3 linked regions of the Lonchura striata genome follow. The protein of the gene in region 2 binds, or shares a complex with, the protein of the main gene of each other region. Links are inferred from orthologs where the notes say so. Each region holds a gene or a part of one and is shown on either strand. Other genes may lie near its edges.

Region 1 (10,919 bases), on a different chromosome or scaffold from region 2:
TATAAGCTAGATAAGATGGAATACCCAAACAAAATATAAGCTAGTCAAGGTGGAATAAACTCCGGGAACACTGTTGTCTTTTATTACTTACCACACATGCTGGCTATGCTGAGACATTTCACACACTGATAAAGAAAGCATTTCACTATCTGTTTTTCCAAGGCCAATGCACTACACAGGCAAATTTAAATGCCAGCTCAACAATCAAAGCCAGAATTTGTTTTCCCCCAAGAAGAAATAAAAAATTCTGATTATTTTGCTGTGTTTCCCCAGGTTATGAGAGAAAAAACCTGTCAGTTTCACTGGTGAGGCATTAACAGGGTGTAGATATGATTTTCTGAAGCTGCTTCCACAGCAATAGAGACAAGTACCTTTTCTTGAAATGAAATGCATCTGTATAGCTGTGAACAAGCTGGAGAACACTCAGAGTGAGGAACTGCGTCATTTCAGAATGCATGCTGCTCTGCAATACTGAAGAAGGAAATCAAAATATCCAGAGCACTTACTGGCAAACAGTTCACAAAATGAAAAGCAGTTCACAAAACCGAAGAAGGGAAGAACTGAAGATGGCAAATGTGCCTCAGAGAAGAAAAGGTGTCTTGAGAAAGCCTTAAGAGACAACTAAAAGCTCATCTTTCTGTAAGATCAGGAGCTCCCACAGTATCTCTGGTACACCGGAATAAGAGTGTTTATGCTCCTGGCAAAACATATGGGAACAAGTAACAGAACTGCTAGTGTCTGCAAAGATAGCTGTGTAAGGTATATCCCTTACCTTTTCTGATCCATTAATGATGAAGTAGCCACCAGGATCAAGTGGGCACTCGTTCAGCTCACAAAGATCACGGTCAGTTAAACCATTCAGCAAACAGTACGTGGAACGCAGCATGATAGGAATTTTTCCTATAAAGGTTTTCTGATGCTGGGTCTGCAACTGGTCCTCCCCTTCTTTAATAACTGTTTTAGTTATATCCACATACAAGGGGGCAGAATACCTACAGAATAAAAACACCACTGCATCACCTGTCAGTTACTACCTTTCTTACAACCCTGAGTAATGAAGGCAGTTATTCAAGCACACACAAGTGTATTAAGCATTATTACCAAATCACCAATCACCATCTGCATTTAACAACTAGACATGGAAGTTTAAATAAAGCAGCAATTATTACATTTTTAAGGCACTACTATGTTGCAAAAGGTTATTAATTAATAAGGCAGAGGCAGTTCTTCCTTGTGTTTATCCACCATAGAGTTGGCTCTTACGTAAGGTTTCTCAGTCTGGCTTCATTTGGCATCATAGGTGAGGGTGCTCCATCTCTTTCCCAGTGGGTAGGTTTGGAGAGATAGATTTGTTCAAACTTCAACAGGTATCGGGGCTGGAAAACAAGAATATATTTACTTGTAATGGAAGAAACATCTCTCCTATTAGCAACCAGAACTGTTACTGCAGAAGAACAGCCACTACCAATAAATGAAAACACAGCAAGCTGGGTAGCACCAGTTCCTAGGAAGATTTGATAAGACAAGTAAACAAATTAAGACTTGAGGTTTTTGAAAAACTATCTGGTTCTTAAAATGCACAAAAGCTTCCTACAACAGGAGGTGGCACACCCTTGTTGCAAATGTTTTGTAGGTAAAAAAAAACCTCAATCCTTATGTGAAGAAACACCTTTTCCTGGATTTGCAGCAACTGCCAAGTTCTCATGAAAGCTATCTTAAGGAGAATACCATCATTCTTATCTCTGAGCATGGTTGCTAAACCCTCTCATGTGCTCTAAACTGCCTTCAAAATTTGAGACTGAGAAGCAGAGGGAGACAGAAACAAAAAAATCAAGTTTTCCTAATACACACGGTTTCCTTAAATTAGTCCAGCATCTTCAAATGTGGTGAGAGATTGCCTGCAAGTGACTCTGAGGAAAAAACAGGTTTTCTTTTTCTCATCTCTAAACCTATTCCCAAAAACTTGCAAATCATAAATGAGAATAAGACACTACTTGAGAAAGTAAATTAATAGCATTCGGGCAAAAAGAAGCCCAGCACAAACCATACTTTTGATTTGAACAGAGACCAAGCACAGCACAAACATCAGCTGCAGAACTGCACAAATACAGAATTCTGCCATAATATACACAGAATAACAGAGAAAATATTAAGAATTAGTGAGCTAAATGTTTATGAACCATTTGCCTAGCAAAGAAACCAAAAGACATCTCACTTATTCTCTACAGGACAGTTGTTTGCTGGCAAAAAATGCCAAGGAACAGGAAAACCATGTAATAAAATCAACGCTCTGGTGTCCTAGAGTTCATTTAAATCCCTGTAGGGAAGCATCAAGGTAGTGACTAACAGCAAGGCAATGGCTCATCACCATCTGCACTTATGGAACAGGGATCAGACTACACCAGGGATACAGGTGAAAGCACCAGAGCCACTGCAGAAGGTGCACACTCATTGTAGAGGAGCACACTCATCATGGGGTGCAGAATAGAGACAATCTCTATTGTCATAGTTCCAAGGGAAGAACATGAACAACAGCACGCTTTGAAAACCCGGACCTAACCTGAGTCAAAGCTAAAGAGAAGTTTTCAGCTATAAGCCTTGCCACAGTAAAGCTGCTTAAAACCAAAATCTCACCAAAACACAGCTTGCTCTTGGCTACCTGACCTGCTCTAGTAAATCTCTGTCCATGCAGTTTTGCAGAGGAACTGACAATATGAGCTACAGCAGCCACTTGGTCATTTCTCAGCTCAAACAGCAGGACAGGAGTTGAACAGAATTGATGTCAAATGACTTTGAATTGTAAAAACACATAATCTCTGCCAAGGTTCTTCACTTACTGGCTCTTCCACTTCTCCTGAGGCATGCTGGGCTTCAGCTTGTAAATCAATTGGTGGAGCATCTTCAACAATTCTCTGCACAGACATCTGAATAAACTCATCAAAGGAATCCAACTGTTGCCTGACTAAACCCTTTTCATCAAAATAGGAGCTAAAAAAATTAAAAAAAACCAGGTTAATAAGAAATCTTAATTTAATTAATATACTTCACACACCAACAAACTTAAAACATATTTATAACCAAAACTCCACAAGCCATGAGATATAGTACAGAATCAACCATATTTACTTAACCCAAGGCATTCAAACACAGATGCTCCTCACAAATGTTTAATAATTCCCTCCCTGCCTGAAGACACAGACACTTTGGAGTGACAAGACTTGCTGCCACCTCTTAGCTAAGCCACAACTGCATGCACGGTGAGTGCCTCAAAATTCCCTTAAATTGGAAGAGAAACGTGATGACAAACCTCACTGAAAGGGCTCCAGGTCAAGTTTTCAGTAACACTATGAATTACTTTGCTTCAACTAATTTTCCTAGCTGCAGTAGACTAGGAGGATGCCCCCAATTCCAAGTAATAGTACTCAACTTTTAACTTGGATTCCCTGTGTTCCAGCCACACAGGTTCTGGATGCTCACATTTTGCTAGAAAAAATGGTGAAAATACCCCTGTACTGATTTCCTAATGCCAGCAACAACAGTGAGATTAATGGGCAAAACCACGTGCTTGATATGGAACCAAAACCACCCCTTTCTTCACTGAAAAACGCGTGTGCTGGGGGTCAGAATTTCTCAATCCCAGCCGACAGCCTTTTGTTTCTACCAAAAGCCCTCCTGCTCTGAAGGTGCTGCAACACAGTTTAGCGTAACCAAACCGCAGCTCCCAGGCGTGTTCCCGGGAGCTAGCTGGATGTCCCTGCAGACCGAGAGCACAGCTTTTGGCGGGGTAAGGACAGCAAGTTCTAGCAGGTCACCTAATAACAATCCAGCAGGCTTCTTGCCACAGGTCGGGCGTGATCTCATCATCGTCCTCATCATATTGCATATCTGCGGGCAAGTACAAGGTGTGAGTTAGGCTCCGACCGCCGCCGTGTCCCCCCCGCGCCTGGCTCGGGGAGAGGCACCGCATCTCCCATCTCCGGGCTCCCGCGGACACCGGCTCCATCCCTGGGAGGGCCGGGCGGGAGGGAAAGAAGAGGAGAAGGAAAAGGGAAACAAACCCCTCACCTTCGTCCGCGTCGTACATGGTGGCGGCGGGAGCGGCGGAGCGAGGGGCGGGCGCGGGCCGGTGGCGGCGGCGGCGGGACGGCGGCTGCGCGACCCGTGACGTCACGTCGCGTCTCCCGCGAGGCGCCCGCGCGCCCCGCGACGTCAGGCAGCCCCGCCATGCTGCGCCTGGGCCCCGCGCGGCTGTTCCGCCTTGCCCGCCTGGCTCCGCTCCGCGCCCCGCTGCGGCCGTGCGGGGCGGCGGCGACGGGCCACGGCACGGAGCAGGAGCGCTTCGTCTTCCTCGAGTACGAGCGGGACCCGGCTGAGAGGGCGCCGCGCCAGGAGTGGGAGCTGAAGCCGCGGCGGGAGCGGCGGGCGCGGCGCGCAGTGGCAGTGGCGATGCCGAGCCTGTCGGACCCGTCGGTGCCGCCGAGCGGCGTGAGCTGCTCGGGCTGCGGGGCCGAGCTGCAATGCGGGGACGGCGGCGCGCCGGGCTTCGTGCCGGCCGAGAGGTACCGCAACCTGCTGTGCGAGGGCCCCGCGGCACTGCGCGGCGCCGTGTGCCGGCGGTGCTGGGCGCTGGCGCACGGCGGCGGCGCCCCGGCGCTGCAGCTGCCGCCCGCCGAGCACCGCCGCGTGCTGAGCAACGCCCTGCGCCGCCCGCGGCGCCACGGCCGCGGGCCGCTGCTGCTGTACGTGCTCGACGTGACGGAGCTGCCCGATCCCGTGCTGCCGCAGCTGCCGGCGCTGCTGAGCCCCGATGTGCCCGCCGCCGGCGTGCTGGTGGTGGGCAACAAAGTGGACCTGCTGCCCGCAGACCGCCGCGGGCACCTGGGGCGGCTGCGGCAGCGGGTGGCGGCGGCCTGTGCCCGGGCCGGGCTGCGGGGAGCCGCGCTGGTGGACATCCGCCTGGTCAGCGCCAAGACCGGCTACGGCATGGAGGGGCTGGTCAGCCGGCTGCAGCGCTCCTGGAAGTGCGCCGGCGATGTCTACCTGCTGGGCGCCACCAACTCGGGCAAGTCTACGCTCTTCAACACCCTGCTGCGCTCCGACTACTGCAAGTCCCGCGCCCCCGACATCATCGACAGGGCCACCGTGTCCTCGTGGCCAGGTCAGGGCACTGCTCGGCCCTTTGTAGCCCGGGTAATGGGGAATGCGGGGTGTGCAGAAAAAAGCGAGATATGTGCCTCTAGGCTGCTCTTGGCCACCCCTGCGGCAGGAGAACCTGTCACCAAAGCAGTACCTCCATGGTGGGCAGCAAGCTCCAGAAGTGTGCCGTGCTTCACATTATTACCTGGGAGGAGTGGCTGAAGTGTTTAACACAAAGAAAAGGAGGTTTGGGAGATGTTACCACTCCCTGCATCTACCCAGAGGAAGTTGTAGCTAGGTGGGAGGCAGTCTCTTCTCCGAGGCAGCCAGTGGCAGAAGAGGACATAGTCTTAAGATGCACTAGGGCAGCTTGAGGTTGGACATTAGCAGGAATTTCTTCACCAAAAGGGTGATTAGACATTAGAATGGATTGCCAAGGGAGATGATGGAGTCACTGTGCCTGAATGTGGCACTCAGTGCCATGGTCTAGTCAATGTGGTGATGATCTCAGAGGTCTCTTTTCCAGCGTAATTGATCCTGTGATTCCTCACAGGGGGCAGCAGGAATGGGCTGCATGTCCTCCTGAGTGTACTGCACATCCTGTAGCACTAAAGAGGCTTGTTAAACCAGAGTGGGTCTGTGTGCACCCCTGCCAGTTAGGATGGCACCTGATGTGCATGCCTTGCTCTGTCCCTATCCATTAGAGGTGTCCTCCAGTCTGGAGAGGCCAGGAAGTGGAGTGGTGAGCACCTGTAGGTCAAACCAAGATGTCTGGAGTTGAGATTTGTCTGGGGTATGCTAAGGCTCAGCACCACTCAGCTTTGAGACCCTTTTATTCAAACTGTAGAAGAGAACAGCTCTTAAGCAGGTGGATGGCTTGTTTTTGCTTCCCCAAGTTGGGAGGCTGGTACTTTATGGGAGCATCTGTAGTTCCACTTCTGACTTTGTGTTACTGGGTTTCACCAAAAAGTTAAAGAAGCAGTTTTTTGTAATCTTGTTTCTCAGAGCTGAAATGTGTCAAGTAGTCAGAGATCCAAAAATGCCTTCTGTTTGTTTTTCCCAGGAACAACACTGAACCTATTGAAATTTCCAATTATTAACCCTACGTGTGACAGGATATTCCGAAGGCAGGAGAGGCTAAAAGAAGAGGCAGCAAAAACAGAAGATCAGCTAAGCAGTGAAGAAAAAAAGTACCTTAATCAACTTAAAAAGCAAGGTTACCTAGTGGGTGAGTAAAGGTGTTGCCTTTCTGCCCCTAATGGAAACACTGCATCACACAAAGGTTAAGTTATTTTGACCAGTGTTTGCTCCCAGATTAATGGGGACAAGGCCTTTATCTCCTCTACAAGCAGCATCATTAGTACTTTTGAATACTTGTCAGCTGCTGTAGTAGCAGAGGCTTCCTGTGTGCAATGCATCTCCTCTCTGAAGGAGGCTGGCAAATTCTGATAGCTTAGCAGTTTGCAAGGTTATTATATTGCAGGTATGGGCCATCTCTTGTTCCCAAATAAAGAAAATAAGTTTAATTTTAAATAATCACATCTGAGCTGCAGGCTACAAGGGTTGTACATCATTTTAGTATGTATTCAAAAGAAGGGGTTGCCAGAAGATAGTTCTGGTTTTCAGGTAATTTTGTGTTTGGCAGTCTGAGGCATTGAAAATAGAAAGCAGCCTGCTTTACCATAAATTGGAAATAACTAAGTGTCTGTGATCTGGTCCCTGCTGAGATTCTGGGGCATGAGGAGTGCTAAGCAAGAATTATAGAAAGTATTTATCATTTTGGCTTTTGAGCACACAAATTTCTATCCACATAGTGTCTTCATCACCTTTATACTACTGATGTGCGTTTCTTTTAAGCCATGAAAGGGGCAGATGTTTGATTGAAGGAAAGCAAGCTAATAAGTAGATTACCAGGAAAACCTTTCATTTTAATTCAGGAAGAGTTGGAAGAACATTTAAACAGCAGAAGTCTAGCGCTGAGATTGACTTCGACCCTGACAAGCTCTCTTACAGCTTGGATGAAGATCCTAGAGATGAAGATCCTAGTGATCCCCCTAAGAGGTTTGAGGAGAGGGAAGAGTTCATTCACAATGAAGTGAAGGATGCTCGGTGGTGTTTTGACACTCCAGGAATTGTAAAGGAAGACTGTGTAGGTACTCTGTGGTGCTGTGTTTTGGGGCGACAGGGTTTGGGAGGACTGTTCTGCTTTAGCTGCGTCTGTGGGAGAGTGCTTCTGCCATAGTCTTGGCATTAGGATTCTTTTTGCCTGGGAATTGTATTAAGATAAGGTTTGTATGTACCGGAGAGGGGTTCATGTGGTAATGCTGTTGCATTTCTGAGTAGTGCAATACTGCCAGCTTTGCAAAGGAGCTGCAGGACTGTGTCACCAAGCTTCCACAACCTTTGAACCAAGGGAAGTAAGCAAGAATGCTCTTAGCAAGTTCACACCAGCATCACCCAATGGAGCTGACACTTCTTCAGTTCTCCCAACCTACAGAAGAAGGTGGAGCTTAGGGGGATAACCAGAGTTGTATGACCAAACCCCATCTTAGAGAAAGCATTCTCCTGAAGCTAGGAGGTTCTGCAGTGTTGCTGCTACTGGCTCCAGTATGTCAGGCATTTGTCAGTAGTGCTGACGAATTGCACATGTCTAAAACAGGAACGTTTTTACTTTAAGTCTTTTAGTACCCATGCACAGCTGCAGGTCATCTTTTTGGGAAGATTAAATAGACCAGGCAGACAGGAAGGTTCTGAAGAGAATGAAGTGCAAAAATAGTGCTGAGACTTTACAGCTTGAGTGCCATTGCTGTTTTCATGAACACTAGAAGACTTCTTGTTTTCTAGTAATGTATTTGTCTGAGCATAACCTGCTTTACTAACCTGCACTCTGGTCTCTATAAAGATTGGCATCAGCTTAGAGACCTGGATTGGTATCTTGAGATTGATTGTATGTGTCCTTCCCTTCTGATAGAGTTGGATACTTGTGGAAAATACTTCCTGCATCCAGAAATAGTTGCTTCTGATTCTGATTATCCTCACACTCTCTTTTGGAGAGCTCCATGCCAAGTTTCAGATCAAATTTTGTTCCTGCAGTCAATGATCAGTCTGAGTGGAGGACAAGCAGATTGTGGCAGATTTTGGCAGGGGAGATTCTTCTGTTTCTCGCTTACTGCGTAGACCATAATTGAACTGTTGTGTCATATGTTCTTGACATTGCTTTGATTGTACTTTTTCTTCTATCAATATAATGCCAGTACTAATGCCATTGTTCCCACTGAAACATCTGGAATGAGTTATGACAATTTATTTTGCAGGTTTTGAATCTCCTAACAGAGAAGGAAGTAAAACTGGTTTTGCCATCACATGCCATTGTTCCACGGACTTTTATTCTCAAGCCAGGAATGGTCTTGTTTTTAGCAGCCTTGGGACGTATAGACTACTTAGAGGTAAAGGAAGAAAGGATTTTGGGAGCAGCTGCTTTATCTCTTACTGTAGTACCAGCGATAAAAGGTTTTCTGGATAACGTTCCCAGACTCTTTCATTGCTGCTTTAGAGATGATGAATCAGTTATTTAATCACTGCATAAAGTCAGAGTGCCCTGGGATAGGTAGTTGAAAGGTTTGTTACTTGGTACCAGCATGCAATATTGCATAGTATATAATGGAAACTTCTTTGGAATGCTGACAAACATCTTGAGTTTAATGTGCTTCTCATGACATACAGAGAGGCATGAGGGAGGGAGGAGAATGTCAGAATGAACTGGGAAAATAGGTGGGTTTCCTAATTTCTGTGTTTTGTGAAACCTGCCTGCTAAGAGAGAACAGCATAGATATTTTTCTTTCTTGGCAGACCTCTGAAGAACTTGCCTGAGGAAGCAATTAATTGCATATGTATTTTAGTTTCTGTAAAAAGTATTTTTGAAATGTGTCCCCTCCTGCCAATAATTTCTTCCATTTATTAAAAACCCCATGCCATACACCTTTATTGAACTGTGTGGAATTGACCTCCTATGATGGTTCCTCTGTAAGGGGCAGCTTCTTTCATAAGAACATTAGACATTATCATAAGTCTTAGATAATTTTCTCAGTAGCTTGCCCTGTTTTAGGGGTGTGTAGGGCTATTCCTTTGTTTCAGTCTGCTTTCAAAAATCACCACAGAAATGTTGAATTGGTACTTTGCTAAGGACACTCCTGACCTGCTGGAAGAAAACCAGAAAGGTATAGGGGGCAGGATTCTGTAAAGTAAAAAATGTTCTTATATGGCAGGAGCACACATCAATGTATCAGTCTTGTGTATCTATATCCACTTGATATCTTGGAGGACAGTTGTGCTCAGATCATGACAGAAGCTCCTGCCTCAGCTTAGACCTTTGAACCTGGAGGAATTCCTGCCCGTATTTCTGGCTGCTAGCAGTGCTTGGAGAGATCTCTCCCCTCCCTGACCTTGTTCTCTCTTCCTGCAAATGTGATGAGAGTGCCTGCTGAAACCGCTCCACTGGCTTTACATAGCTTGAGAGCAGCTGGAACCTAGTACTGTTGAATGAGCATAGTGTGTTACAAGTGTAGAGTGATAGGAGAAGAAGTACCTACCAGATGTCCATCACCTCTTGCAGTGAATAAGCACACTGAGTTTGTTTTTGTGAATTAAATGAGAGCAGAGATCTCTCTTGGATGATTTACCTGAGCTGAGCAGCTGTGCTGGCCATAAATGTGGCATTGGGGGTGCTTTGAGGCAGGATGGTGAAGCTGTTGGTCTTCTCTTCTGGAAGCTCAAATCCCAATTTTATATAAACCATGGCTTCTGTCATTGACAGAGGCAAGGACTTCTCAAACAGGGAAGGGGCATCAAGCAGGGCAGATTTTCAACATGCAGGAAGGAAATGGGGCAGGAGGGAGCAATTCAGGGCTGCTTTTCTGTTAACATAGTTATGATCCTTTTGGTATTAATTTCAGGGAGAAAAGCCTGCCTGGTTTTCTGTCTTGGCTTCTAACCTGTTGCCAGTCCATGTTACTACACTGGGTAATGCAGACACTGTCTATGAGAAGCATGCAGCCCAAGAATTCCTAAAGGTAAGGGGAGGTTCTGGGGGGAGCTTGTGGCTGTAGGTAGGCAGGACACCTGTCTGGGGTACAACTGACAGGGAACATCCACAGGTATCAGGAGTTTGGGACTTGTGCAGTGGGTGAGTGGAAATGTGCCATGTGGAGCTGTCTTGCACAGACTGTGGCTGAAGTGTGTTAGGAAAGAGCACTCAAGATGATGCATTTTCAGCAGAATTTCTGCTTCTAGCATTCAGGCTGATAAGATTTGTAGTTCTCTGCTTAGTCATACTTGCCTCTTCTTGAACAGCCTTAAAGTGCAGGCAGCAATAGGGATATTTTCCATTGCAAACCTGCAGTCTGGGGTTTCAGAACAGATTGCAGCTGAAAATTTTCTTATTCTTTCCCTGCTGGATCTTCTGCACATATCTTCATCTCTTGGTGGTCTGACATTTTCCTTGGTGTGGCAATATTCTGTGTAGTACTTGCAGATTGATGGGAGATGGGGTGAGGTGTCCCTGTCTTGGTATTTCCATTCCTGTGCACATGGAGAGCATGTGCTGTTACTCACATCAAGGCAGCTGGCCTGATCCACCAGCTGCATCCTGCGGTGGGTTCTATCTACATCTTTGCTCACCTCCCACAGGGTTCCTCTGGATGTGATCCTGACTGTTCTGACAAACCTGAAATAACTCCTGGAGGTTATTCAGTCCAGCTCTTGACTGGCTAACAAATGTTTAATGT
Region 2 (10,219 bases):
GCTCAGTATATGGAAAGCAGACTGGTCTAGCTAGGAGCAGTGGCTGACTTCTAACAGAACAACTGCACGAAGTAGTGATTTGTCCAGGAACAGGAACAAGACCTGCATAAATTGAGAATTAAAAGCTGCTGCAGTGCTGTTACCTCACCTACACACTAATTGCAAAGGCTGTGGTATCTGCAGCATTGGGTGACCTGGCTCAAAATGTGCAATAAAGGCTCTGGCAAGCAGTACACTCCTCAGAACTATACAGCCATGTTCTTTTACTGGCACAGCAAAGCTCGACCTGGCTCACACAGTCCACAGCTACCGAAAACATCTGTGCCCATGTGGAAAAACAGTGTGCAGCACAGCCAGTAACAAAGAGAAATACACTAAGCTATACCTGGGGCATTTTCTGTTTCAAGCAGCAAAGAAGCATTTTGAAGCCTAATTTTTGTCTTGTATAGAGTAAGAACTAAGCCAAGCTAGGGAAAAAAAGAGCCAGTTCCAAGAACTTGCTGACAAAGAACAACCTCCTAACTTCCTAAAGCTCAAATTAAATTAACACTAACTTTACATTTATCAGTTATTCAAGAACCCCAGATCTTGGAACTGGTGCTTAGTTAGCATTTACCTTTAGACTCACAGCACCCCATGAAGTACATGTGGAACAGCTACAAAATCGAGATGCTTCCAACTGCTCAAACAAACTAAATGGCAGTCCAGGTTCCCATAAAGTTCAGACAACTTTGGTCAAAAATACCTCAAAAGCACAACAGAAAGGCATGAATTGGCACTATCTATTGGTACGTATTTTTTCAGTTTTCAAAGTGGCAACTTTCTACAGCAGATCCCATACCAGCTCAGATACCGTTTTCTTTCTAAAGTCAAGATAAATGCTATAACATGCTCCAGCTGGCTCAACAGAAATATTACTACATGCTTACACCTAATCTCTGTTTATACTGCCAGATAATAAGGTAGATGCACATTCAGTATGAGTGGACAAGGAGTGAAGGGCTCTCATGGTGTTAAAATCACTGACTTGCTATATAATACATTCAGACTGGGAATTAAGTCAGATTAAGAGGTTGCAGATCAATCATACTGTATGGGAAGGTCTCAAAGAGTGCATTTAATCATCTTTCTGCTGGCCTACCTGCAGTCAAGGGCTATGCAGAGCAAGACAAAGAATTATGAAGGGCTGTGATCAAAGGATTACTTCCAGCTACCCATAGGTACTTCAGATAAAACCAGGTGCTGCGCACAAACATACATGCTAATGACATAAACAATCAGGAAAGACTAAATAAAGTCTTAAATGCCATAGACATCTTGTTTTGCACCTTTCTTTTATCTTTAACATAATAAATATGGTAAAGAGTCAGGTTTCAAAATCTTAACAGTCCTTGAAAGATGCACAGAAAACAAGAGCAACCTGTTTCTATAGGGCAGAATTTTCACAGATCCCACAGAAAGATTTTGAAAACTACATATGCACAGAAAGAGAGACCTGCCCAACCAAAAGGCAACTGAATGTTGTTTCAGGACAAGTGGTCTTTATTCTGGGATTTGCAGGTACAAACAGTTCTCTCTCCAAAAAAGAAAAAAAATTACAGTTTAATCACTAGAACAAATGTGATGTACTAAGGAGCTTCACTTCTTCCCACTGCTGCTCTCCTCTTGCTACTCACATCACAGCACTGCCCAGGCTGCAGTACACGAGGCATGCTACAGACAGTGTAGGACACAAGGGCGCCTGCTCCACTCATCTTTCAGCCTGGGCACAGCTTCCTACCTCCTTTAGAAGGGAACACACAAGCAGTCCCTCTCTGTAACAAACTAATTCCACTTTTCTGCAAAAAACTAAATTAGCTCTTTCTCTATATAGCAATACATATGCAGTGCATACAACAGAAACTAAGGCTGATGTCAGATTCTATATTTAAATTTTTCTTTAAACATATAAAAATAATTAAATAAAGGTATCATCTTTCTAGCTATAAGACAATGCAACAGATTAAATTAAAAAATCTGACCAACACACTCAGAGAGCAAGAAATTAACATTCTAATGGCTAACACTAAATGGGCTTCACTTTACCACAAGTACATAACCAAATACTACTACTATTTCTCCACTTTAGCTTTCACTGAAAACACAAAAATAAAAATCTAGTGGCTTTCTGGATTTGTACTAAAGCAACTCACTCTCTTTATAGTACCTCCTTTTACTGCTCATGCTTCTAAAATACTCATCACTACCTTTTTTTATTGCCCGTTAAGTAGCCTCTCTGGAATACTTCCTGTGCTAGCACAAAGCATGCTAAAAGGAAATCAAATAAGCCAGGTTTTTTATTCCATCAGAACTGAATGCTCTCTCCCTCAAAGGAAGGATAAATTCATCCTCATTGCCCTAGCTAGTGAAGATAAAAAGTACAGGTACTACACAGACACTACACTGTCTTGCCTCTGAGTTGGAAGTCCTACTAACAGATGTGGTTGTTTCCAAGTTCAAGTCCAAAGGAAATCAAAAGATAAAATCCTGCATACCCCATGTTATCATCTATCAGTGTTAGCATCTTTTAAGTATTTTTTACTATCATTACTAAAAAAGAAGACAGATGTAAGGTCAGAACACATGCATGAAGGACTACATCAACATTTACTCGGAAGAGTAATAGTCCAGCTTTCCTTTCAGTCCTGTTTTCTCATTAAACAGAGTGGCACCAGCTGTAAGAACAAATTTGCCTGAAAAGTCCTTGCTTCAGGAAACATCAAACTGTATCAGACTAAAGGACAAGCAAGTTCAGTGTCCTGTCCCCAAATGCAGCTAGTGGCAGTTACTTCAGGAGGAACATACGAAGAAAATTTATTTCCCCAGCATGCTCTTCTAATTTCTAGGGTGTTTTAGCAGACATGGGGTTTGTCAGCATATTACTTTTTAATCTCTGAAGTCAATTTTCTTGCCAGAATTTGATTGTGTTTGAGCTTCTGCAAAGTTTTGAAATTCAGAACTCCTAATTGCAAGAAGTTCCAAAATTTAAATGCACATTGTGCAAAACAATACCTCCTTTGCTCTTGCTGAGCCCCAGCAATTAATTAATCTGACACACCTCTAATTCTTGTGTCTGAACTGATTCTTTCCTGTTCACCTTTGCCTATTCACTTCTTCCTTATCCACCCATGACATTACTCATTCCTTCAGATCTCTGCAAGATTTCCAAATCAATCCTCTTGCCAGCCTAAAAGGTTGGTATTTAGGAGTTCCCTCCACAGCCATCATTCCTTGTTGCCAAGACAAGATCTGGTGATCTCCTTTTTACTGTTCCCGGGTCTGCACACTTTCTACAGTAGGGGGAATGAGACCATGGCTACGCAGAGCATTCTGGATAGAGGCAACATGATGGTACAAGAATATTTTCTCTTTTGTTTTCTGTGCTTTTTGTAATCATGTCCAATGTTGGCTCTGCTCATTTGACATATTCTTAGAGTTATCTCCATGTACAGAAAAAAACACTCCTCCTGAATTACAACAACCAGCAGAAACCCAACTGCTGCATACAAATAATTCTGATAGTTTTTCTCTAAGCACACCAGATTAGTTCTTTCAGATCTTAATTTCTTAATTTCATCTGCCATTTTATCATCCTGTCACTCAGAACGTCATGATCCAGTTCCGCAGGTTTCTGCTGCCACCAGGGAAAAGCTATTGCAGTTAGAGCACTTGCACAGTGCTCATTGGGGCTTTGTGATATCACACACTCAGCCATCAGAAGAGGAAGCCAACACAGCAACCTGCCCACCAAAAATTCTGCACAGCAAAGCAAGTCTGAAATCCCAACCGTTTTTAAGGGCCGCAGCAAGCAGTTTTAGTAGCTGAAGTGTGATGATGTTACACCCCCCTCACCACCCAGGACTAGTACCTGTCCCCACAGGTTCTTTCAAGTTGATGGTCTGAAACTATTCCTAAAGAACAAAGGGGATGAAGGAACTGTTTCTCCCAAGACAGAATAAATATAGGTCTAGAAAAAGAGGAGCACACCCAGAGGGGACACGAAGCAGGCAGGGCACATGCTCCCCCATCAGCTTCAAGTTCCCCTTTCTGAAACAATGCTTGGTATTGGCAGGAAAATGTCTTGACAGCAAAAACACTGACTCCAGGGAACAGAGCAATGCCAGCCTGTTAGTGGTGGCACCAGGCTGGACTGTGGCCCTGCACCAAACAGGTTTGATTTGACACCCTCGCTACCTTTTCACAGCCCCCCCACTACAGCTGTATTTCACTAGCACCAAAGGCAGCTGTAATGACAAGACACTGGCATCCTCTTTCCTTGCTGGATGTGGACAGTTTTAATCAGGACGTGAATCTGGGCACATTCAAAACATTGTCCAACTCTCAAAGTTTTGGAGAAATAAAAGTTACATGGCCACGTTTGTTGCTCATCGCAAACCACTAGCAAGGACAAGGAAAAGATGTTTTACTGTGAGGGTGGTGAGACATTGCACAGGTTGCCCAGAGAAGCCGTGGATGCCCCATCCCTAGAAATATTCAAAGCCAGGCCGGATAAGGCCTTCGGCAACCTGGTCTAGTCCTGGATGTCCCTGCCCACCGCAAGGGGGTTTGGGACTGAATGAACTGTAAGGCTCATTCCAATCCCTCAACATTCTGATTCTGTGATAGCTCCCGGCAGCCCTGCGGTGTCTCCTTTACTGATCGGGCACGGGGTCCAAGCCCGCGCTGTCCCCGGGAAGGGGAGCAGGCACAGCGGCTGTCCCGGGCCACCGGCCGAGCCTGGCGCGGCAGCCGCGGCCTCACGGCGCCAACCCGGGCACGGCGGGGCGGGACGAACGGAGGGACCCGGCTGCCACAGGCCGCGCTGGGCCGGGCCCGGGGCCGCGGCTCCTCACCTTCACCAGCCACATGCCCGTGTTCTGCTTGGCGCCGGTGAGGTCCAGCTCGCCCTTGTCGCTCATGGCGGGGCAGCGGCCGGGCCGGGCCGGGCGCCGGGCGAGACGAGCGCGGCAGCGGAGCGCACCCGGCACACGGCGGCCCGTGAGGGACAAACCTCCTCCGCCCGCACGGCGCGGCGGGGCGGGCCCCGCTGCGTCGGAGCCGCGGGTTCGGGTCCCCGCCCGGGCGGGGCCGTGGGAAGGGACGGGAATCCCCCGCAGAAAGTTCCTGTGTGACAGGATAGCCTAGGTTCGAAGGCACGTGTAAGGACCATCGCGTCCAACTCCCGGCCCTGCACAGGACGTGCCCGAGTGTCGCATTTGGACAGTGAGAGCACTGTCCAAATGCTCCTTGAGCGCTGTCAGGCTTGGTGCTGTGCCCACTCCCGTGGGGAGCCTGTTCCTGTGCCCAACAACCCTCTGGGTGCAGAACCTGTTCCTGATACCCAGCCTGAACCTCCCCTGACACAGCTTCAGGCCATTCCCTAGGTCCTGTCACTGGTTATGAGAGAGATCAGTGCCTGCCCCTCCTCTTCCCTTCCGAGGAAGCTGTAACTGCAGCGAGAGCTCCCCTCGGTCTCCTCCAATATAAAGAGACCAAGGAACCTCAGCTGCTCCTCATACAGCTTCTCCTCAAAGCCCTTCACCATCCTCATTGCCCTCCTTAGGACGCTCTCCAACAGCTTAATGTCTTTCTTACACTGCAGCACCCAAAACTGCACGCAGGTTTCGAGGTGAGGCAGCACCAGCGCAGAGCATAGCAGGAAGTTATTCCCTCCTGGTACCAGAATAGTTATCCCAGCATGCTGTAATGATCTAGAAGGACTGGAGGAGAAGCCTGGAGAGAGGAGGTACTACCATGATAGTGCCCTTCTGTTTAGGAGGGAAATGGTGGCTAGAGGACTAGCTTCTGTGAAAGGGAATCAGAGCATCATGGTGTGCTCAAAGGCCAAGAAAGTTAGAAAACACAGCTGGTGAATCACTTCCTGGGAATAAAAAGTAAAGATTTAAGCTTAGCTTTCCAGAAAGAGAACTCATGAGGAAGTGTTGGGCTAGGCTGTCCAAAGATAGGAGGGCATCTGAGACACTGAAAATGTCCTGTGTCAGGAAAGTGCCTGCCCATCCTAGGTTGAGGTGGGTGTATTTGGCTAAGAAAAACCCAAGTCCTTATTTTACAGTTGTCACTATCTCTGGGGAAGTTTTCCCCCTTTGCAGTTTAACTTTGTTATCTCCCTTCTATCCACTATAGGCACAAGAAAGACATGGACATGCTGGAGACACTGGCATGGGTTGCCCAGAGAAGTTGTGGATGCCCCATCCCTGGCAGTGTTCAAGGCCAGGTTTGCCAGGGCTCTGAGCAGCCTGGTCTAATGGAAGGTGTCCCTCTCCACTGCAGGGGGTTTGAACTAGATGATTTTTAAGGTCCTTTCCAATCCAAACTGCTCTATGATTCTATGGCATGGAAAGCATTTCATTAGCTTCCTCTCTTCTTTATTTTATCCTTTTACTGAGATGTAGCCCTTTGATTTACCTCCTCTCATACTAAATAACTTCCGTTTGTTCAGTTCAGTCTCATAGGTCTATTCTCTAGACCTCTGGCTATGTCCATTGCTCTCTGAATTGCCCCCAGTACAAGTTTACATCCTCTTTGAAGTCTGGTTGCTCAACGGTGAAGGTTATCTGAGTCTGTACCAGCAGCAAGCAGAGGGTATTTTCTGGTACAATATGCAGGAAATTGCTAATCTGGCTCATAAAAAATGATCTCAGTAGTATTATATCTCAGATATGAGAGTCTGCCTTTCTAATTATAGGCAATCATCTAGGTAACCAAGGAGGACAACATTTTTATATGTATCTGAAGCAATTATGGCTAACACTGAACTATTATATTGACTAGGGTAAGTCACATTTAAAATTAATTGCATTTTAAAATTGCTTTTGTTTTTACATTTGAACTGTGTTTTTCTGTAGAACTCAGCTTGGAGGGTGGATAAATCTTTTACTGTTAGTTAACTTCCACTGAAAATTCAGTTTTCTTTAAGACAACCTTACATAGGCCTACTAAGGGCTCCTCAAATGCTAATAAAAATGGAAGTGGGTGCATCTCAACAGTAGTTAGACCAGCCCCATTTTCTGGGACTGTGTCACCCCCAAATATTGTAGGTCTAAGACCCTTTGGTTTTGTTCATCTGGAAAAAGAGTGGATCTGGATCTACACAGACAAACACCATTGCTTTACAACCTGCTTTGGATCCTGCTCATAGGATCATAGAACAATTTGGGTTGAAAGGGAGCTTAAAGACCACCTAATTCCAAACGCCCTGCCCTGGGCAGGGACACTTGCCACTAGACCAGGTTGCTCAGGTCCATCCAGGTTCCATCCAACCTCGCTTTGAACACTTCTAGGCATAAGGCATCCACAATTTCTCTGGACAATTTGTTCCAATGTTTCACTAACCTCATTTGGAAACATTTCTTTCTGATGTCCAATCTAAACCCACCCTCTTTGAAACCATTGCACATTGTCCTTTCATTACAGGCTCCGAATAAAAAGTGTCTCTCTTTCTTGTGAGCCCCTTTAACATACTGAAAGGCTGCAAAAAGTTCTCCCTGGGGCTTCTGCTTTTCCAGGCTGAACATGCCCAAATCTCTCAGTCTGTCTTCATAGGAGAGGTGCTCCAGCCCTCTAACCATTTTAGTTCCTTTCCTCCAGACCTTATCCAACAGGTCAGTGTCTGCCTTGTGCTGGGAGCTCCAGGGCTAGATGCAGTACTCCAGGAGGGATCTCAAATGTTCCCCCGGGATAAACACTGAATTAACAACAAAACTGTCCCTCTACCACTGCTCCCAGCTCAGTCTGTGTACTCAGATCACATGCACCATCACATTTCAAAAGAAAAAAGCAATGGAATGGATGTCTCTAACAGGGGTGACATTTGCAGCAAAGCAGCATCATGGGGGCTCAGATGGGCCTGTGCTCCACCAGATGGAAGGAGAGGAGCTCCACTTGCAGAGAGCCCAGCAGCAGGTGGCAGGAGCATGGCTGACCACCTCAGGACTCCTTAGGGAGGGAATCCATGAGGAGTCATCACTCATATTCCATGTGTAAATGACGATAGCAAAAACCTCTGTAAAAGCCTGACAATCGAAGTGGCTCAGCTGGCAACCCAGAGGGGAAGGCGACCAGGCAGAGATCTTTCCTGGCTTCCTCCAGGCAGCCTTTCCATAGCTGTTTCCATGGAAACTGAATTTAAAGGGACAACAAGCAGGAAAAAGTACGCATTTTCATTAATTCCTCATTTAAAATCTCAACCTTGTGTTTACCAGGGACACATTTAGTGCCATGGAGGAGGACCCAGGGGCCAGCTGTTGAGCTGCAGAGCTGTGTGTTAGTCACCCATTTTCTTCTTGCTTGCATGGAAACAGATGTGTCTGAGAAGAGAGATGGCCAAATTGAGACTTACACAGCCTTTCATTTTTATTTTCCTCTTGTCCTATTAGGTGAGATGAAGAGTTGGCAGCATCATCAGCAGCCACACAGAATTTCTGTTCAAATGTTTTAGGAACAGGCTAATTGATGCAACCTGGTGGTAGTTGGTGAAAATCAGTGCAGCGGAAGATGCAAAAAGCCTGATGCTTCCCTGTTGAAGCTGATGGGAGTTTTGCATTTTGGAACCCATGTGCTTTCCTCAAAGCCCAGCAAGAACTAGGGAAGATGTGCTCCTGGGAGCCGGTGTTCCCACAGAGTATCAGCGATGGACACCATCAGAGAGGATTCCATGTGCTGGAGGAGATGAGTGCTGCCTTTATTCTGAATACCTGAATTTTCAGTCAGCAAAGACCTCATGGACTTATGAGGATGCCACAAAAACTCAAACTTAAATCTCAAAACTACCATTATTGTTTGAACTGCTTGAGTAAGAGGAGGGAAAACTTTTGCCATCTTCAACTGTAATGCATCATTCTCTCGTTTGTGGTGCAGTTGGTCTGTGTAAGCTGGAAAAAAAGAGAAGAAATAATCTGCAAAGACAAAAAGAACATCTGGGCAGATCATTATTATTTATTTTTAAATAAGAGAAAATAAATTCTGCGTAACTTACTCCAAAACAGGGTATGGTCTGCATACCTATTTCCTGAGGCAGCAAAGAATTTCCAGTGTGTCTTTTTAAGACAAAATATATGTTGGAGCTTTTGTGTTTTCAAACTGCTTTTGAGCAACATGTTAATAACAGACTTGTTTAGTCCAAGCTGTTCTGTGGCACAGAGTTGGAAAACATCAACCACAGGGCTGAGCTCCTATTTCAGTAAAATCCTAGGCAGTATGAAATCTTCAACATGGCATTTCTGCTGCAAAACACAACACAAAAAGGCAGTTCTGAAAAGATGGCAGCCTTCATTCATTCATTTATAATTTTTAATTCTTTCTATATATTTACAGCCATACATTTTTATCTATGCTATATATTGGAGAATACTTCGTTTTCACAGTAATGGTGCTGCGCCTCTGCTTGCAGTTCCAACCCATACCATGTCTTCCATCAGATTGACAGTGTGCAGTAAATTTGGCTGTAGGCAGCTTGTACTCTTGCTTATTAGGATTTTCACCATATCAAGGAAGGAGTGGGAGTGGGGGAAGAGAGAAAATTGAAAGACGCAACTGCAAATTATTTTTTTCAAAGGAAGAAAACACTTGTTAGAGAATTTCAGATACTTGGTTTGAACCTAATTTAAAATAATTTTTTTAATGACCATAAAATCGGCATTATCTTTTTAACTCAAGGTACTTTTTGTGCCTCTCAGGCATAAAAAAATATTATCTAGCCTTTTTCACCATTGTCTCTCAAGAAGGAGCTTTAAGCATGCAACATTTTCAACCTAGTAATAGTACAAAGGTAATGTGAGGTTTCATCAACTTGTTACTTTCTAAAGTGCCTTTTCATTGTAGGTATATAGAAAATGTTACATAGAACTGAGTTTAACCTGTTCTTCTGCACTCCTTGATATTTTTTCTGATCTTCTTCTCTAGTAATGTACTACCTCAGCACAAAAGGTCAGCAGCATCTATAGTCGCTCATCTCCTGGACTTTCCACTAATGAGTTGGTGAAGAGCAAGGCATTTTCTCTTCAGCTACTGAAAAAAAATGTTACAATGGATTTAGTTCCCTTATGTTATAATTTAACAAACTTAATTCTATGGCACTGATATTCCCCTTATTTTGTAGGTATAGGCAATGAACAGTCACCAAGGTATGTTATTGATGCATAAATTATCTCCTAATGAACTA
Region 3 (10,793 bases), on a different chromosome or scaffold from region 2:
AAGTCACAATAGAAATGGAGCACTAGGCATGCGATATACAGAGAAGCTTAACATGTGGAATTCCAAACATGACTTCTCAAATGCTGTAGTTTGAAAAGAGTGATGGATGATTTACCTTTCAGCAGAATCTGGATGGAAAATAAACTAGGATTCCAAAGAAAGGAAACACACCCTTCTAAATAAATTGTATTAGGCTATAATGCCATGTTAAAACTACTGATTATTTCTCCATTAAATGACCCCCCAACAACCTTCCACAAAATAAATTATGAGGTCAGTGTTTGATCAGTCTCTCGAGATCAATCTCAAGAAAGAGATAAAAAACCATAAACCATTTATAAATAAGATTTAAACTTCTTATTTCAGGTAAAGACACGTGGCTGGTTCTTAATCTACATGACCAGGGAAGCACCCACTTGTGAAAGAAAGATTAAACAATTTAGACCCAAACTCATTGTTCTATACAGTCAGAGAAAAGGGAAGGTACCAGAAATGTCATGAAGTTAAATTTTGCAGGGCTATTTGCTCATCCCATGAACTCGAATATACACAATTCTACAAAACTTTCTCTGGACAGCTTTTTGATTAAAAACATCTAGTGAAATTTTCTCCTGAAGATTCCTCCTTCTGAGGAAAAAAACAATCTGAACAAAAAACAAGGATAAACCTACCAATTAATCTGCTGTCTACTGGACAAAAGAAAACAAGCAGTAGTGGGAGAGTCAGTAAAGAAAACTGTTCCTTATGAAAAGCCTTTCTCTTTACACTTCTTTTTCTCAAAGACAAAATGGTGGCATCTATCTATCTAAAAGTTAAGCCAGTGTCTGAGCTAAAGTTACAAATACAGAGTAAAAAAACCCAAATAACCAAACCATGACAATACAAAGCTTTTTTCTTTACAGCAAAAGGCAATATGGGAAAAATAACTAAGCTGAAAACATCCCCTCATAACCAAAAATCCAAGCCCAGCTTTCTTGATTGTTAGGTAGAGCTTGGGAGTCTGATCACATAACTTATTGTGACTACTGGCTTCAGTGAAAAAATACAAGCAATTATATCTATAGGACTGGTCTCTAATTTCTGTCACCCCTTTAGTTTATAATAGTCTAGGGCAATAGATCTTGTTGTCCCAATCCCTCCTTCCACTCCAAACTCCCACCACCTCTCCCCAAACTCAGAACAACTCGGAAAGCACAGCCTTGGTAAAAGTAGGTAAGTAGTATGGGGCATTTGTAACATGTTTTAACAAAAAACCCCCAACGCTCCCAACCTCAAACAACACCACAAAACAGACCAACTCTCATCCTGCTGTATAAAACCCATCCAGTTAAGAGCAGCATCTGACCATGCCTCCAATTTACAAATGTTCCATCAAGCACAGATCATACTTCAACTGACATTCTTTACTTTCTATCAGTCACACTATAATCAGATTCAATCACACACAGGAACACAACACATCCACAGAGGACCTCATACAGCATTCCAATACAGAAACACTACTCTATTTTTTGGGTCATATCTTGCAAGATAAAAACCTAAAGGAAAACCAGAGAGCATGCATCAAGAATTCTCAAGGGAACTCCTCAAGTGTATAATTTTAAGTCTTTTAATAAAGATACCACATTCTTTCAAAATGAGAAACAAAATCCAATTCTAGACTATTTTTTTCTATGAAAATGATGCATTTTCTATAGTAGCCACTTCTATGTAGGACTTACATGCCACAGTGTTATCTATTTAAAACAGTAACAACACAAACTATTGAAATTCACTGTTCCAAAACTTGCAGTAATCTCATTTCTCTGGTTTGTCTCACTTCTGAGTAATAGGAAACGAGTTCTGGTCCATTAACTCGCCCACTCTCTCCTGGAGGAAGTTGACCAACTCAGCTAACACAAAGACATGAGTTTCATCCAGGTCTTGTATGATGAACTTCTTTCCCAAAGCATTTGACTCATCCAAGTAGAGCAGAAACTGCTTCATTGCCGGGTCACTGTAGAGACAAATACACATCAGACTCTACCTCACAAGTTATAGTTACAAACAAAAGAAACACCATTCAGAGATATTCCTAAAGGGTTTAGGAAAACTAAAATTAATTTTCATAACTTAAATACACTCTGTGAAACTTTAGTAAAAGTTGATTCTTTCCAAGTGGTTTTGGTTACTATAGAGACAAAAATAAAATTGTAATAAAGTCTAATGAGTAGAACCAGCTGCTTGATTAGCAGAGAAATTTCCGTTTGCTGCTGCTAAAGCAGATTCAAAAACTCCCAAACCAAAACTAAAACTCAAAAGTCCAACCCTTAATAAGGCAAGACTGAATTTACATTTCTGATTTCAGCAATAGCCTCATAAAAACAGGTTTCCTTAAAGTATAGGGATAACCAAAAGACAGGAGAACACAGATCTCACTCAAAGTAGTATAGCACAGACAAAGAGTGCTCATATAAGAATTGTATTATTTCTCACACTCCAACTGAACAGTCATGATATCACCTTCTAAATAAAATTTAAATTGTTTAGAAGAAAACATTTTGGAAGTATGGAACTGCTTTTGTGCAGTTTTAGATTGCAAACATATTAGGAGACTTAAGTGTACAGCAGAAATCTTACACATCATGTAACGCTATATGACCCCACAAATCTTGAGTGATGCTTCCTTTAATTTTGGAGGTAGCCAGAGGCCTGAGTCTCAGTCCAAAGATGAGATTATATGAAAACAGGTACATTGCACCTACACCAAAAAGCTGACATTTACCAACTCCAAGCACATTCATTTCAAATATGATCTACAAACAGAACCACATGTTAACCCTGCACCAAATTCAGCCTAGAGCTGATTAAATAAAAACAAAACAGGAATGAATAAATGAAAGATTACCTCGTCTCCCTCAAGAATCAGTAAAGAAACACTTGATTCACAAACAACAGCAAGAAACTGCTCGCAAGCAATACAAAGAACAAGAGGGAGCATCTAATATTTGCAAGGAAAAATTGCCAAGGTAACTGGATTGCTCATACTAGGGTTAAGTTGTACCTGACAAGCATATAGATAACTTACATATACAGCTAAAAGTTTAACTTGTAAACGTTTCAAAAGACGTGACAATATTAGGGGAGCATTAGACATGGTAGAATATAGCTTTGAAGCATAATTTCTCATAGTGAATGCTAATTTGAAGTATTTTACATCCTTTTCTCTATTTTGCTAAATTAAAATAATAACCTGGATTTTTACAACTATGTGATTTCTAACTTTTTCACCATCATATTTTTACTCCATATTCATATGCAGTTTTTTCTTTAAGGAGGTTAGGCATAAGTGGAAAACAATCTCTTGAACAGAAAAATGGGCCTTTGGCATTATGACTATCCACAATTGCCTTCTTTTTCTTCCCCAAAGGCCGCACTTTTCTCTGCTTGTTCAGCACCACCCTTCCCCACAATACCTCCTTTTGTCTGGACTCTTCAGTTACTTAAGATTAGTTCCAGGTCTAAAGAAACACAGTCTTTGACACGAGGAGAGGCAGTAAATGCTGCTACTCACCACTCAACCAGAACACCTTTCAGAACATTCACCATCTTCTCAGCTCTTATGAATGCTGAAGAGTCGGCAAGAGCAACCCCTGTTTTGGATCACACTGTGAAAAAAAGAGTTCACTCTTTAGAATTCTTAGAATTTTAATAAAGGATAAAAGAAAGACAAATTTCCAGAGCATGGAGATAGCCTAAAACCTCTGTTCTCTCTATAGTTACATTGCTGGGGTTACCTGTGAATTCAACAGTTTATACATTATTCAAACATGCTTTTGAGATTTTGACGTTTCTCTTGTTTGGTTTTAACCTCTGACTTGTCTGCAGGACATTCTGTAGATCAGATCCATATATTTTATTTCTTCCCGTAGCTCTATCTTGTTGTTTCACACTTCCTGATAGCAAAGAATCAATAAATCCTTCCTGAATGCTTATGCTCTGTTTTCTGTCACTGTTATCACTTGGAGAGGCCAGTCCGCAGATGTAAGAAATAAAATAATTGTTTTACGCGATTCTGTGAGTCAGCTACATTGAAGCATTTTAGTCTATTTTAACAGTTTGCTAAAAGTTATGATATAATATATTTATCACGCTATTCACATTCATATGAACTATACAGTGCACACATAAGCTGACAGGTCATATTATAGAAAAGCAGTTAAAAGTAAATATAAATTGTACCGTATCAAAATACTTGCGATGCAAAAAGCGAAATAAATGCGAAAGTCAGTATTACATTATCATCTACAACAGCACTGGCGATCACGGGAAATGTGGAAGCACAACACGCCCCACACACCCCCAACACGCAAATCCAAACAAATAACGCCTCGGTTTTACGCAAAGACTCTTTACGACAATTCTACTCCCCGGCGGAGTTGCTGGCCCGTCCTGGCCTTCACCTCCTCCTTGCTCAGAGGGGTTCCCAGGAGCTCCGGTGCGGTCCCTCACCTCCGCCGCGTACGGACCGGTCCCGCTCCCTCACCCGCTCCCTCACCTCCGCCCTCGTCCCGCGCCGCCTCCCCGCCGGCGGAAGTGCCCCGCCCGCGCACGCGCAGGCCGGCCCCGGCAGCCGCCGCGGATTGGCGGGGCGGGCGGCGGCGCGCTGACGTCACGCGGCGCGCGGGGCCGCGCGGGGAGCGCGGCGCAGGCGGAAGGTGGGAGCGGCGGCCCGGGCCGGGGGCGCGGGAAGGCGCTGGGCGGGCGGGATGGGGCTCGGGGCGCGCTGTTCCTCCCCGTTGGAAAGAGGCACGGAGCCACCCCAGCCTGCCTCCTTGCTCGTCTACGTGTTGCATTGTTTAAAGTTGTGTTTGCGGTAGTGTTTTTATTTTATATATATTTTTTTTTAATACGCCCCAGATGCGCAGTCGCGCGGCGGGCGGGTGGGGACCGCACCCCGGTGCGGGACGGGGCTCGGAGCTGCCTGGGCCAGCTGTGGAACGGTGCGAAATGGGTCCTTCTGCATTATACTTGCATGTGGCTAAGCACGAGAAGCCCAGCGTGAGGCGGCAGTGCGCGCTCCAGCCCCAGAGCAGCCGGCTGGAGCTGGCGGCGGGCCCGGGGCGGCGATTCTGCCCCTCCTCCGCTCTGCTGACACCTCACCTGGGCTCCCCAGCATCACAAGGACGTGGGGCTGCTAGGCAAGTCCAGAGAAGGGCCACGAGGTTGGTAACAGGGCTGGAGCACTTCCCCTGTGACAGCAGAGCGAGGAAGTTGTGGCAGGTCAGCCTAGAGAAGAGGAGGTTGCGTGGAGACCCCACGGCCACATTCCAGTGTCTGAGGGTCCTGCAGGGAAGTCAGAGAGGCACACTTAATCGGGAGCTGTAGTGTAGGACAAGGAATAATGGGTGCAAGCGAAAAGGGGAGACATTTAGATTAGATATTTTAAAAGAAATTCTTAACTGTGCAGGTCGTGAGACACTGGAACAGATTTCTCAGGAAGGTTGTGGATGCCCCAGCCTTGGAAGTGTTCAAGGCCAGGCTGGAAAAGGCTGTGAAAAACAAGGTCTGGTGGGAGGTTCCCCTGCCCATGGCAGGGATGTAGGGATTAGGTGATCTTTAAGGTCCATGCCAGACCCTTAACATTTGATGATTTGATGCTTGCCCTTGGACCTGAACAGGAGCTCCTGGCAACGGAGGAGCCTGCTGTGTTTGCAGGTGCATGTTCTAAATTTTAGTAGTTGTGGCACCTGCTGTCACTGAACCACATGTTTATTTCAGATTGTGGTTAGAGAGTAAATGTGAGTACTGTGATTCTATGAACCAAGGAACTGTCATGAGACAGGGAGTTTGGAGGTGGGAGATTTGTCTCTAGAGGACTGATGATCAAAATCTTAAAAGTGTTTCACAATTGAAGTGAATGGATAAACGAGGTTGAAATGACGGAAGTCAAAAAGCAGTCTGCCGTAATTTTGGCAATGCTGGGGTAATGCTGATGTTTTTCAAAAATCTCCCAAACACAAGCAAGAGAAAAGGGAAAAACAAAACTTTCTGGGAAACAAGAAAAGAGGGAAGACATGTTAAAAAGAGTCCTTTGTTCAGAGATATTGGACACTGATGATAAAACTGATATAAACACTTTTCTTGGTCTGCTGAGATTACCTTGAACTCAAGGAGACTATCAGGCTTCCATATTTCAACATCAGGTTTACACATGTGACATTTTATCATTTTGAGTTAATTGTGATTGTGGTACCAGAAACCTAATTTGATTCGTATTTGAGAAATACTGGTGTGTTTTAACATCTCTATAAACACATTAACACAATATTTCAGTTAGTATAATTGCACCAATGCAGACACTAAAATTTCACTTAGAAGATAGGAGTTTCATGTTACTTCTGCACTGTATGCAAAAAGTGTTTGTTTTTATGTAGTAGTTCTTTAAGTCTTGTTAGTCAAAATAAAAGACTTACTTGCCAACACAATAAATTATGAACTTTTAAATGGGGTTGGTTACTGAGTTGTATTAAAGCCCATGTCATGCTGAGAAATGTCTTGATGGATATAGTACCGTATCTGGTATTTACGGAAGAGTGACTAAAAAGTAGGAAAGGAAACTTAGAAGCAGAGAAGTTAATTGGACATACTTAGTCACTAGAGAGAGTAACATAATTGACAAAAAAACTGCTTTAAGCTTTTATTATAACCTAAATTCAGCCCCTAAATTGAGAATTCAGCCCATAAATTGAGAAATTTGTAGAGTTTTTTAGTCCGAGTGCTTTATATGGAGCAAAATGACACAAACATGGTTTATTGTGACCTTTGCTGTAAAAAGACAAGAAAAAATGCTACAGAATTTTTGCTGTAATTCTCAAATTTATAATTACTGTTTTTCTCCCCAATATGCAGAATGTCAGTGGCTGCTTACTGTGTATTTTGCTACAGAAAAATAGGAACTTCTGGTCCAGCCACAAAAAAGCATCTACCCTGGAATGATATCAGTAAGTACAGTTCATTATGTGTTGATCTGAGGTGTTAATAAAAAGGAATAACATGACACTGTGCATAATTCAATGATACTGAAGGTTTAAACCCTTGAATGCTTAGTGATTAAAAGCTTCTGTTTGTCCCTGCTCTCTGATTCTGACCTTGCTTTGCATAGTGATCTGTAATATGACACCAGCAGATTATCTGGGAGCAGATACAAACACTTGATGAGGGTCTTTCCCTAACTAAATGTGATCTCCTTAAACTATCTTTAATTCCACTTGTATCTGATTTTTTTTTTTTTTCTGGTAATCTCTAGAGCCATGAAATAATTACATTCATAAACATTGAATAAAGCTTGTTTTTATTATTTCTTTTTCCTTATTTACTTCAAGCCCTGCTTAGTCTCTGTTTCCTTTGGTGTCTTCAGCATATAATGACAATTCTTGCAATTCTGAAATTTATTTCTGAGCATTAAAGATAGGATATTTCAATTTCTGCTCTCCAGGAAGCATTGCATTTGTTTTTTCTTTTTCAAACTTCTCTGCCAGTTATGTCATCAACATGTAGCTGCTGCCTCTTGTTTGCATACAAAATTCTTATGGCCTCACAGATAGGGAAGCTGGTAGCAGTGGTTGTGGGGCAAATCTCGCAATTCATGCTGAGGAAAAGAAATTGTTCATGATAAGTGAGATGTGTTACATTGGGTTTGCTGCTGCCTGGTAATGATAAGAGTTTATCTGTATAGAGATCCTTATATCCAGATAATCAGATCAACTTTGTAGATACAAAGTAGCTGAAATCTGGAAGGAATAATTTTGTTTAAATGGCAAATTCTTGCTAGTAGCATGTGTTTATTATCTGTTTGCTTTACACATTAGATTAAATTGAATTTTTTTTTTATGTATTTGCTTATGGACTTTGCAGGACTTCTCAAAAACCATACATAGTCCTGTATGTAATAATATATACATTGAATAAATAGCTGCAACCTGTAAGAAAAAGTTAACTCTTTAAAATTATTTCAAGTTCTAAATTACTGCTAGTGTTACAGGCAGAGAAAGTTTGCTGTTGATTCTGGTAGCTGAGCAGTGTATGCAATTGAGAGGTAGCAATATTCAAAGTAAATAGAACTGGCAGGATACATGTTTTATCATCTTGCTCAGGAGAGCAGGAAATCCGAATCAAATAATGTTTTCTCCACTTGTAAATTTTGGTTAATAATTTCTTGAAAGCTAGAGAGCAATAGAATTTTTTTTTAAAGCTTGTTCTTAATATTTGGTATTCTTATTGTCTGATAATCAAATGGTAGCTGTGTTTATATTGAGGTGATGCATCCAACTTTGACATTTGGTTTTGATTTTTTCAAGGAAAAATTGCAAAGGTAACTGGATCACTTATACTAGGGTAAGTTGTAACTAATGAGTATATATGTAACTTATGGGTAGAGTTAAAATTTTAATATGTGTATCTGTCCAAAATAATGATAATACTAGATGATGTTAGACATGGTAGAATATAGTCTTGAAGCACAGTTTCTGATAGTTATAACTTATTTCAAGTATTTTATAGCCTTTCTCTACTTTGCTAAATCAAAATAATCTACAAACTTATGTATTTTGTAAAATCTCTATCATTTATGCCAATGTGACTGCTATTTTTTATTGTATTGTTTTTGTTGATATTCATATGCAGTTTTTTTTTTCTTTAAAGAGGCTTTGTATTCATTACCTATGAAGTCCTGTCCTTAAATAAGTTACTGCAAATTGATACTCAAGCTTTACATCAAGAAAAACTTAAATCCTATGTATACGTACGTACAGCTTCTCTAAGTCCAAGTGAATATCAAGGTAAGATGCATAATTGTTTGAGTTCTGAAAACAGAATTCTAAGAGAATAGAATGTTTCTGGAAGTCACCCTTATATAACAAGTAAAGTTGTATTTCCTGAAGTCTGTTACCAAGAAATATTACCAAATTTAAGCAGCTGACTGGTTTGTTGTTTTGTTTTGGTTTTTTTTAAGGTAGTTCTTTCTATATGTAGTTCTCTATATATCAGATAATTCTCTTTATATAATGTCTATATATATGTGGGTGTATTTAATTTTCCATATTTTTATGAAAAGTGAGGTGAGGGAACTGTCTTTCAGACTTCCAGTAATATAAAAATACTCTTCTAGGGATTACATACAAAGCCAGAAAAGAAATCCATAAAGCAGTGAGGAGAATTCTAGAAACAGAAGCTAAAATCTTCCGGAGACCTTTTAATGGTAGGTATTGAAAGCAGAACTTTATGATTATTGGTTTTTAACAGTAAGAAGTAGGGCAATTAGGAAGTCAAACATTTTTTCTTACAAAGTTAGCATGTTCTTTTGTTCTTGAAACAGTGATAATATAGCTTATAATTTCTTTATTTATATGGATTATCAATCGATTGTCTATTTTCTGTGTATTAAAACAATTTATTTTCTTAAAGTAAATGAAAGTGATGGTTAAGAGAAGATTTGAGGGTTGGTTTTTTCCTTATTCCAGAAGAAATTTAAAAGTTAAAGTACCAAGTTAATATTTGATATAATTTTTGTGTAAAAAAGGTGTTTGTGGGTTGAAATACTCTAAGTCTCATTTTAGAAAAGTATGTATGCTTTCATCAAAATTGACATTATTAACTGAAAGCAGTAGTTTTTATTATCAGTGTTGCTGCTTTTTCAAGTAATTTGAAACAAGAACTTCCATTTGTATCAGAAACTGTGCTCTTGAGGCATACTGCCTATTCTCATTTAACTCTCTATGAAATTATAATAGCAATGTGCATCTCCACTGTCATCTTATGAAATTAATTCTTGAAAGTCAGAGCCTCAAGAGTTGCTAATAATTTGCAGCTCCTGATGGTAATTCTGATTGATCAGTGCCAGCCAGGGGTTATGTGTGTCACATAGATAGTTGAAATATCAACTTCGTGCCACTAAAATGAGACAGACTCACACTTTTAGGATCAGCATTTTACTGATGTCATTCTGTCCTTGTTCATTTTACTAATTTAAGTTTAAAATGTTACTGTAAAATTACTGTGAACAAATAATATTCAAATATTAAAAAACCTACATATTTCCTTACTCCACAAAGAGAAACGTGGCTGGTTAAAATGCTCATTAAGAATAATGGATTTACTTGGATTTAATTTGTTTCCTGGTCAAAGAACAATTCAGTACCTTTGATGGAGAAGATCATGAGTGTGCCTTATGGCTTCTCTTAAAGAGAAGTCAGTCAGAAGACAAAGCAATCCGACTGCAGGCTGTACAAGACCTGGCAAGCAACAGTCACTGGCATGGTAATGTATGCTGATGTAGCCTTATTTGTCCCAGAAATTCCACAGTCTCAGTTAGCCGTTCCAAGTCTGCTCATAACATGAAGAAAAGCTAGTAGCTGCAAGAAGCATCAGGTTTAAAAAAAAGATTGTTTCCCTCTGAATATGAATATGCTCTGAAATTTGGTTGAAAAGGTAGGGGAATTATTTGCATTTCAAGTAGCTGTTCTTTCCTAATGTTTTTCCCTGACACAGTGTGAGTGTCTGCAGTGCAGGCCTCTCTGTTTCCCCACCAGAGAATTATAACCATTACTTTGCTGTGGAGAGTAGTTCATGGTCTTTAGTTCCATAGGTTTTCTGTTGGGATTGCTAATGCAGTCACAAGTTTTGGCAGTGATTTTTTTTATAGGCCTCTGTAGGAGTGAGTTTAAGGTAGTTAAGTTAATAAAAATTGTTTAGGAGCTGATAGGTAGTAATGACAAACCAGAGGTAGACGGCTTGTACATGCAAGCATTATCTGT

Evidence for each region.
Region 1: GTF2F2 (region 2) and POLR2B share a complex: the UniProt entries of both Homo sapiens proteins name them as parts of the TBP-based Pol II pre-initiation complex. The link is inferred for Lonchura striata from reciprocal best matches to the Homo sapiens genes GTF2F2 and POLR2B.
Region 3: GTF2F2 (region 2) and GTF2H5 share a complex: the UniProt entries of both Homo sapiens proteins name them as parts of the TBP-based Pol II pre-initiation complex. The link is inferred for Lonchura striata from reciprocal best matches to the Homo sapiens genes GTF2F2 and GTF2H5.

What each region holds. Positions count from the first base shown.
Region 1 is NC_134606.1:58,661,373-58,672,291, forward strand, and holds the start of POLR2B (DNA-directed RNA polymerase II subunit RPB2), read right to left. Parts: upstream 4,146-10,919; 5' UTR 4,085-4,145; coding exon 4,066-4,084; intron 3,886-4,065; coding exon 3,813-3,885; intron 2,989-3,812; coding exon 2,838-2,988; intron 1,377-2,837; coding exon 1,264-1,376; intron 993-1,263; coding exon 773-992; intron 1-772. Other genes in the region: NOA1 (nitric oxide-associated protein 1), read left to right, coding at 4,225-5,158, 6,200-6,364, 7,074-7,285, 8,451-8,582, 10,089-10,205. UniProt on the Homo sapiens protein: Catalytic core component of RNA polymerase II (Pol II), a DNA-dependent RNA polymerase which synthesizes mRNA precursors and many functional non-coding RNAs using the four ribonucleoside triphosphates as substrates.
Region 2 is NC_134604.1:60,919,653-60,929,871, reverse strand, and holds the start of GTF2F2 (general transcription factor IIF subunit 2), read right to left. Parts: upstream 5,048-10,219; 5' UTR 4,959-5,047; coding exon 4,893-4,958; intron 1-4,892. UniProt on the Homo sapiens protein: TFIIF is a general transcription initiation factor that binds to RNA polymerase II and helps to recruit it to the initiation complex in collaboration with TFIIB.
Region 3 is NC_134605.1:53,865,855-53,876,647, forward strand, and holds GTF2H5 (general transcription factor IIH subunit 5), read right to left. Parts: upstream 4,611-10,793; 5' UTR 4,538-4,610; exon of another isoform or gene 4,443-4,537; intron 3,648-4,442; 5' UTR 3,589-3,647; coding exon 3,554-3,588; intron 1,997-3,553; coding exon 1,816-1,996; 3' UTR 1,594-1,815; downstream 1-1,593. Other genes in the region: protein SERAC1, read left to right, coding at 6,893-6,983, 8,340-8,376, 8,683-8,819, 9,149-9,238, 10,165-10,296. UniProt on the Homo sapiens protein: Component of the general transcription and DNA repair factor IIH (TFIIH) core complex, which is involved in general and transcription-coupled nucleotide excision repair (NER) of damaged DNA and, when complexed to CAK, in RNA transcription by RNA polymerase II.